Linked DNA regions of Danio rerio. The protein of the gene in region 1 purifies or fractionates together with the protein of each later gene. This does not show direct contact. Links are inferred from orthologs where the notes say so. Each region holds a gene or a part of one and is shown on either strand. Other genes may lie near its edges.

Region 1 (4,102 bases):
TGTTGACCGTTTTAAACAGTCATGCTCAAAGAACTTTATTACATTTAGCGGATTTTTACACTGAATATTCAAATGTGGTTTCTGAAATATTGATAAAATTAAATATTTGTCATTTGACATTCTTATGTAAGATTGAAATTCAAGATTTTTAAATGAAGGATTTCTTCATTTTTTTCATTCCATTTTTGAAACCAGCAAGGTACAATTGCTGAAATAACACCATAAATTTCCAATTTAAGCACTTTCAAGAACATATGTTTGTTTTTATGTACTTTCCAGGCCTTGAATTCATGTATGTTTGAAATCAAGTACTTTCAAGAATCCTGGGTTTTCTGTCTGAAATGATTCATTCAAGCCCTGCCTTTCCGAGAGCCTACTCTTCTGTGATTGGTCTACGGGCTTGTGACAATAACTTTGTTATGACAGAAATAACCATGATGGCATTACATTGTCTACTGGTGATGGGTTGTTTTTAGATGATTTATTCATTTTGAAAAAATCTTTTGTATGACTCGAGAACGATGAGTTTTCTCACATTTGTGCAGGTGGAGTAGAAGATTAGTACCTTTTTTTGAGTCTTCTATCGGGTTTGAGTCGTTTGTTCATCACGTGAAAGATGGAAGCCAATCATATGAATTTAGAGCCGAAAAAAGATGTGATCCGTTCATCTCTCGAGCCCTTGGTCTGAGTCTTTTGTTCATCACGTGAAAGGCAGAAGCCAATCATATGCATTTAGAGCAAGAAAAAGATTTGATCCGTTCATCTCTCGAGTCCTTGGTTTAAGCCGTTCGTTCATCCCATGAAAAACAGAAGCAAATCATATGAAAAAGATTTGATCTGTTCATTTCTCACATCTCTCTTTACATGCCATCACATGATGAACGAATGACTCAAAAACCAGAAGACTCGAAAGGTGAATTTTATTTGGTGTAATTGTAGATGTCATTGGAAGCAACTCGTAACATTTTAATAATATTTTGGCAAATCGAACGAAATGACTCTAAAAAAGATTTGTTCACCTCGCTGCACGAGACTCAAAGGTCTGAGTTAGCAATATAATCCGAACTTCCCATCACTATTGCCTACAAAACAGTGGCTATTTCCCAACACTATTGCCTACAAAACGGTCGCTATTTGTGCAAGAAAGACAAAATGGAATTACTGACGACTCATTTCAGGAAATTCAGAATCAGGATGTTGCTGTTGTTTTTTTTGGGAGACATAAACTCCATTTATCGAGCACTTTGATCTTTGATATTTTGCAAACCTTTTACATTTACAAACAGAGATATTACATACAGGATGAAAGCACAACAGTGGCATTTTAAACGGCACATAAACACACATTCCAAGCTTTTTGGCAGCCTTTTTATTTTTTGTTTAACTTTCTTTTTATCAAACTGTTCTGGTGGAATGATTTCTTTTGTAATGTGGCAGCAAAAAATGTTTAAAAAGAAGAAAAAATAAAGCACTGCGAGTAAAATCAAGTCCTTCACGACGACCAAAAAAAAATAATAATCAGCATATGACTTATAGAACAAATATTCCACAAATCTGTACTTGTGGGCTTTTAGTATAGTTTCTTTGTCTTACTATTTTATTTATTTATTTATACTGAATTAAAGCATTCTGGCTTCCACCCAAGCCACATCTCATTTGAAATGTGTTTATATTCCATGTTTATATTCATCCATTCCGGTTTGGAGGCTCAGACTGACATGTGTGGAAAGATGAGATGCAAAAAAGCAGGAAACGCAAGCGCTTTTAAACAACGTATAAAAAATTATGCAAAAAAACAAACAAAAAAAGGCAAGCTCTGAGGTAAAACAGACTTCTGGCATAAAGGCACTGTGAAATAGAAGAAAGACTTCCTCATGTATTTCACCGGCTACTGGAAATGAAAATAGGATGAGGATATGATCTCTAAGTGCCAATTATTGCTTTTTGGTTTAGGATTTTGCAGAATCAACAGGGCCAAAAAGTCCTGTGAATAATTTTCATTATATTTGTTGTGTTTTTTATACTAATACTGATTATTATCATCATATTTTTAGCAGGAAGTACTTCATCATCAAATCAAAAATCCATAATGGGGGAGAATATGAAGACATATGAGGTCAGAGGAGGCTGAAGATCTTATGAATCAAAAAGAGGTGAGTTGTATAGAGAAGGCCAGCCTCCCCAAAATTAAGAAAACCAAGCAAAGTAAAAGATGTAGAGAGAGAGAAAGAGAGAGCGAGAAGAAAAGAACGCGCTTGCAAACGTAACTTGTGATGTTTGTCAAGTCCACCTCTTTAAGAGTAGATTTGGTCAGATTGAATGAGGATGGTCCCATGGAGGTGTTTGTACTCTTCTTCAGTCTTTTTATCGGTAGAGCTCATTGGTTATGATATCTTGCAGTTTCTCTCGAAGGTCTCTGAAGCTTGGCCGCACCACAGCATCCAGAGTCCAGCACTGCTTCATGATGTCGTACACCACTGGAGGACAGCCGTCGGGGGAGTCCATCTTATAACCCTTCTCTACACGCGGGACCACTTCCTTTAGAGGCTGGAAGAAGAGAAAGAGAGACAATGACTCAGGATAAAACAAAACAAAATGTGCTTAAGGAGACAACGGTGCCCTCTACTGGTAGGAATCTGAAATTATACTGAAGTAAAACATAACATTTGAAAAATTGATGTATTTGTTAATAACTAAAAAATTAATGAGATAAAACTAATGTAACAGAGTTCCCATGCTTTCCTGAACAACAGTTTCAAGGACCTCTGTAATTCATGCCTTAGCATATGTAGTGCCATGAAAGCCCTTAATGTACTTTTAAGTCCCTATGAAATCAAAACTAACCATATGATTTTGTTAGCTCAATTGATTGTTTTGGGATGGACAATTCATCTGTGCATGTCATTATGAGAAAAAAAAATTGTTTGCCCTTCTAATCTTTTATCGAAATCTGAAAATGCACTTGCTGTTTGTTTTATTCTCAGATTACGTATATCTTAGCAACTGGGCGTAGCTAACATATTTAACCACGCTGGTTCAACTCAGATATGAAAACAAACAGAAATGGTGAGGAGGAGGAATCTGTTAGGTTGTAATAACTCTCCCTAAATACTTTTCCACATCTTTCTAAATGAAATGCCTACTTTACTACATCCAATCAGCTCACAGTAGAAAAAAACAAGCCACGCCCACTGTTTTCTCATTTAATATTCAGTTTCTCTAGGAACTGCATCACAATATGGAGAAAAACAAACAAACAAACAAAAACGGTTGCAGCTTCCAGTTCATGTGGGCATTAACAGTTCACTTAATACTTACAAGTCATTTTCAAACACTTTTCAAACATTTTAAAAAGTCATGGTCAAAGAAATTTAATCAGATTTGTTGATTTCAATGCTGGTAATATTCAAATGCGGTTTCAGAAATATTGATCAAATGTGCATTATTTGTCAGTGTTATTGTACAAGGTTTAAATGTAAGATTCTTAGTTAAAGAATTTCTCTTTTTTTTTTTTTTTTTATAGCACAATTTACCATCCATAAACAAATTTCAATTAAAATTTAATCCAAGCACTTTTAAGGACCTGTGTATAAGCAGCTAGCTCTCTGCAACTTTCACATGGTCGCCCACTGAAGCTAAGCAGGACTGAGTACCTGGTCAGTACATGGATGGAAGACCACATGGGAAAACTAGGTTGCTGTTGGTAGTGGTGTTAGTGAGGCCAGCAGGGGGCTCTCAAACTGCGGTCTGTGTGGGTCCTAATGCCCCAGTATATTGATAGGGATTCTATACTGCTTGGTGATCGCCATCTTTTGGATGAGACATTAAACTGAGATCCCCATATCATAATTGGTTTCATCACTCTGTTTCCTCTCTGCCAGGTGGATGCTGCACATTGGTGGTGGATGAGGAGATTCCACCCCGAAAATGTGTAAAGCGTTTGGGTGTCCAGAAAAGTGCTATATAAATGTAAGCAATAATTAATTTTATAAGTATTTTACAGGCCTTGAACCCATACTGTATGTCTGAAACTCAAGAAGGGTCGGAACTCTGAATATAATAAAATTGCCAACACTTGTACCAACTGGTGGACTATTACCTG
Region 2 (5,103 bases), on another chromosome or scaffold:
TAACAACAACATATTTGTATTGCATTAATGTGTAAGCTTACACAGCAGCTGGGACGGAGCTCTCCAACTGATTTAACAGGCTTTCCACACTGGGCCTGACCTCTTCGATCACCTTTGCAGGTATATTGCGCTTGGGCTTCTCTATCTTCGGAGGAGCTGCTTTCACTACTGATGAGACGCCGTTTTCAGGGACATATCGTTGGGTGTTGCTGGCTGGTTTGGGTGGGTAGGTCTCTATGCAACAGAAAATAGAAATGGAAAGAAAGACATCAGTGTGTGCACATCTAAGAAAACCTTATAGGCAGATGCTCCATCAAGCCAAACAAAAGAGACAAAAGTAAAAAAAGAAATATAATTCGGCAGACTGCCACTCTAGATCTCAAGAGACAAGGTTTTGCCCTACAAGGTCTTCATCAGATCACACAGGAAATATAAGAGAAAACTAGAAATAGACTGCATCCAAAATCGCCTACTACTCAGTATGTACTACGTTTGAATTAACTACACGACTGTTAGGAAAGTACGTTCTATATAGTATGAATGTGAGCAGTATGAATGGCACTCTGATGTACTACTCCCGTTCATGAATTCTCTCGTATTGCATCATGGGATAGTGTAGCATACATTGGATGTGCACTTCAGAATCTTGCTGGAAGTAGTCAGTCATCAATGTACTTGCTATGAACGTTCAATGAATTTGGACATACTACTTGTCTCGGATGTTGTTTTTAACATGCTATATAGTATGGAAGTATGCGATTTTGGATGCAGCCACTGTCAAACCCAAGACATCACATCTGGAACAGTTATAACCCTAACCAACCAATAAATAAACAATAGAAAACATGTTTCCCATCCCTGTTCCTGAAGGCACACCAACAGTACACATTTTCAACCTCTTTCTAATCAAACACTCCTTAATCACCTCATCAGAACATAAGAAGAGACTGCAAAACCTGGAATGAAAGGGTCCGATAAGGGAGACATCCAAAACAAGTACTGTTGATGTGCCTCCAGGAACAGGGTCGGGAAACACTTTATTAGATTGTTTGATATCCATGTCAAAAGTGCACATGTGATGATTTGGTGCTTTACAAACTGACCTTCAGCAGGGAAAGAGGGAGTGCTGTGCTGCACAGCGTTAAGTTCCAGCAGCAGACGGTCCAGTTCTGACAGGTTGCTGCCCAGAGAGGAGTTCATGACGGCGGTGGGAGACTCAATCGACTTCTGTTTGTTGGGGAAACTGTAGACGTGCTCTTCCTCAGACTGCGACACGCGAGGGCTGCTGCTTTTCGGGGCGGAGTTGAAAGACTGAGAAAAGAAAAATGTTTTACAATTAAGTACATTAACTTTACAAATGAAAGCAAATTAAATTGCAACATTTTCACTAATAATTCAGACTTTTTTCACCTGGTAAAACAAATAATAAAAATACTTTTTACCAAATCAGAACTAAAATTTCAGAATTACAAGTCATTTCAAGAGTTTACACTTAGCTGATGATTAAAAAGTGTATTTGGCAGCTCATAAGAGCTCAGAAGATCCTCGAGCACGGGGCTCCCTCCTGTTTGCAGGACAAGAGGGGAGTTTGAGCTCAGGTAGATCTCGAGAATTCCCCTGCTTATTTATAGCTAATAGCAATTTAGGGATTGCTATGAAGAGATATACAGCCGCTTAAAGTCTGGTTTATACTCCTGTGTCAAGTGATTGGCATGACCCACGGCGCATGCAACGCGCGTAGCTGTGCGTTTAGACTTCTGCGCGCTGTTTCTGTTGTTCTGCAAAAACGCTGGTTGGCAGTGAGGTGTTTGTTCATCTGTGTCGAGTTTCTTCACTGGTGTGTTTTTTTTCTGAACGCTTCCTTAATGTACAAGTGGCTTAAACTCGCTCATTTTGAGGCAGGAACCGGCAGACGTGCACCAACTTTAACCATGAGGTAAACACAAAACACATCACCTCAAAAACAGTGGAGAATTGGCCCTGAATAGCACAGCATAAGGTAAGAGATGACAGCTGTCTGTGCTATCTGGGGCTGCTTATTGGTCATAAATGTATTGCTTTTACTCCTGCGCCATGGAGACACCGCGATTCATTCGAAAACTATTTAATATGTGAATATAATTCAGTAAAAAGAATGCTAGAACCGTATGAGCACCGGCAAGAGCTTTCATTTGAGCTATAACTTGTACATGTGTCATATATGAACAATATGAAAATGAAACAATGTTCAATACCCAGCTCGGGTATCCAAAATACTGTGTATTTAAGAGTAAATAACTTTTGTACAATAGAATAAAAACCAAAGTGATGCATATGTGGATAAAATATAGATTCTACACTTTCAAACGAAACCACTTATGGGGGTCTGGTGCAATGCTAGCCCTTTAAATCTTAAAGTGAAAGTTGATGACGTCACGGACCCAGTACCGGGTCCGCAGAGTTTAACTGGTTAAGCCTTTAAATGTCACATTAAGCAGAGTACTAATGTCTTGAAATGATATCCAGTAAAATATTATGTACTGTCATTATGGTAAATATTGAAGAAATCAGTTATTAGAAATGAGTTATTAAAACTATTATGTTCAGAAATGTGCTGCAAAATCCTCTCTCCGTTAAACAGAAATTGGGAAAAATACAGGAGGGCTAATAATCCAGGAGGGCTACTAATTCTGATTTCAACTGTATATTGCATATACTATTATCAAGATAACGATACTTTTTAGATGTATTATGCAGATCTAACAAATATAACCTTGAATCTCCTGAACCTGCTTAATGGCACAAGCCTCTGGAGCAACCAAAGATGAAGTGCTTTGCTTGAGGGCAAAACAAGCAGAAAGTGGAACAGGCCGCATCTGGTATTTGTCATAAGGTTAAAGGATAACCAAGGAGACTCATATAAAGAGCAACAGAAAACCCTTCAGGAAGTAATGATGATGCATTTTACCTGGGTTGATGAGTGCTTTGATTCTGGTTTTTCTACCCAAGATCCATTCAGAGTTTCAGCAGGAGGGGAGATTACTCGAGGCGGAGACGACACGTCCTGATAAGAGTCGCTTCCTCTGGGGCAGGAATATGGCGTCTCTTCTGGCAGAAAAACACCTTGTTTGGAAATGTGGGAGGTTGTGGACTCCAAATCCGCGAGAAGAGCATCTGTTAGGTAGAAATAAATAAAGCAATGGTTTTAATCAAGAAAACAGCTAATTTAAAGACTAAATAAACAAAATAAAACAAATAAATAAATTATTTTTTATAAATGTTATTTATTAATTCAAAAAATAAAATGTATTAATTTAAATAAATAATTTAAATAAAAAATAATTAATTACATTTAATTAATTTAATTAAAATGAAAAATAACATTAATTAAAACAACATTAACGCCATTTGAAGGTGTCAGTGTTGCTGTGAAGACTTGTGCGACCACTTTTAAGCTTCTCTCCTGACCTTGAAAATATGATTGGCTGAATGGTAGAAAAGCTGAATTAAGATCGTGTGTAGGGTCGAATCGAGATCATGATCTTTTTTCGATTAATCGTGCAGCCCTAGTTTGTTTTGTAGACTATCGAAAAAAAAGTTGCCTAAATGGGGATGATAATATTGATCATATTGATGATAATATTGTCCTTAAAATGGTGTTTAAAAAATTAAGAAACGTTTTCATTCTAGCTGAAATAAAACAAATAAGAAAAAATATTATCAGACATACAGTGAAAATTTCCTGAATCTGTTAAACATCATTTGGAAAATATAAAAAAAAGAGAAAGAATGTCAAGGGGGGCTAATAATTCTGACTTCAACTGTTCATTTCTATTTATTAGTTTTTTTAATTTGCAATAACTCTTTTGAAATAAAATGAATTATCTTTGTATTCCTAAATAATATTAGGTGGCCAAACTCGTATTTTAACGGACATAACGGTTTAATAAAAGAGGGTGTACTCATTTACCCTGAGCACTGTATAATATCATGCCCAGAGACGTAAATCCCGGGGGGGATGGGGGGGACATATCCCCTCCCTTCCAATTTATTCTGCTTCAGGAGTCAGTCTGTTGACTGTAAACAACACAACAAACAATGCAAAAAATAGAAAAATTTGCTTTGTTATTGAACCTGAGAAAAACTTTAAAGCTAATCATAATGGCGTAGTCTCCATGCTATACTAATAATGATGAAACCATTTTGAACTGCGGGGACATTTCTTTCTTAGTACAAATCGGCTGTATTATTTGTGTCCCCTTCAAAAAAATGCTGGAAAGAAATTTTATGTTTACTGTCTCCCCTACTGTTAAATCAGATTTACGCCCATGATCATGCCACACACCCCTTAAACATTCATAAAAAACAAAAAAAGCTTATAACAATTTGCTGATTCCAAGAGCTTCCAGAATTCTGATATGCGCTTTAGATTCACATTCCCTTCATTGGTTTTGCAAACAACATAAATCTATCAGAAATCAAGCGGCTTGTTGTTGAATAACTCTTTGTCAAGTCTCTTCACAACATGTCTCTTCCTGGTCTGGATCTGATCCTGGAACAGTGGGATAATTATGAACCACAGGACGAGGATGGTGAAATCACTTCGCTCATATGGGGTGTGGCCAAACCTTGCATGTAAAGACTGCTCTAAAACAACATGCCTACAGGGACAGATTCAGCAGGAAGAAAAGCGCAAAATGCATAAACGGACACACACACACACCTCTTAATGCACATAAGACGAAAAAAAATCAATGTTCAAAAGCCAAACGCTCAGGAATGGAGCTGAAAGCACTCTCTCTCTCACACACACACACACAACTAAGCCTGTAAAACATGCTCTTAAGGAACTATAGACCATCTGTGGTTAAAAGTCCTACATATAGCAATTAGATATGAAAAGAAAGCACCTTTAGATAGGGGTTGCATCACCAGTTTTGCTATGAAGCGTGTTACGCCATGTCTATACAGGAAGTGATTGATTGCAGCATGACAACTCTATATGATTGCTAAAGTGAACCAGTGAGCTGTAAAAGTCCAGCTGTACACTATGCACTAAATAAAAATTGGATGTCTTTTGAGGTAAGTGGTTGCAAACTATTTAAATGAGGCGAATTCAAACAA

The links. The genes of interacting proteins can lie anywhere in the genome.
Region 2: the proteins of csk (region 1) and pxna purify together in Homo sapiens (affinity purification with mass spectrometry; 4 studies listed by BioGRID and IntAct, with this or other methods). This does not show direct contact. The link is inferred for Danio rerio from reciprocal best matches to the Homo sapiens genes CSK and PXN.

What each region holds. Positions count from the first base shown.
Region 1 is NC_133200.1:21,859,978-21,864,079, forward strand, and holds the end of csk (tyrosine-protein kinase CSK), read right to left. Parts: intron 2,548-4,102; coding exon 2,365-2,547; 3' UTR 1,347-2,364; downstream 1-1,346. UniProt on the Homo sapiens protein: Non-receptor tyrosine-protein kinase that plays an important role in the regulation of cell growth, differentiation, migration and immune response.
Region 2 is NC_133180.1:7,364,883-7,369,985, reverse strand, and holds part of pxna (paxillin a), read right to left. Parts: intron 3,213-5,103; exon of another isoform or gene 3,154-3,212; coding exon 2,948-3,153; intron 1,312-2,947; coding exon 1,104-1,311; intron 235-1,103; coding exon 42-234; intron 1-41. UniProt on the Homo sapiens protein: Cytoskeletal protein involved in actin-membrane attachment at sites of cell adhesion to the extracellular matrix (focal adhesion). Recruits other proteins such as TRIM15 to focal adhesion.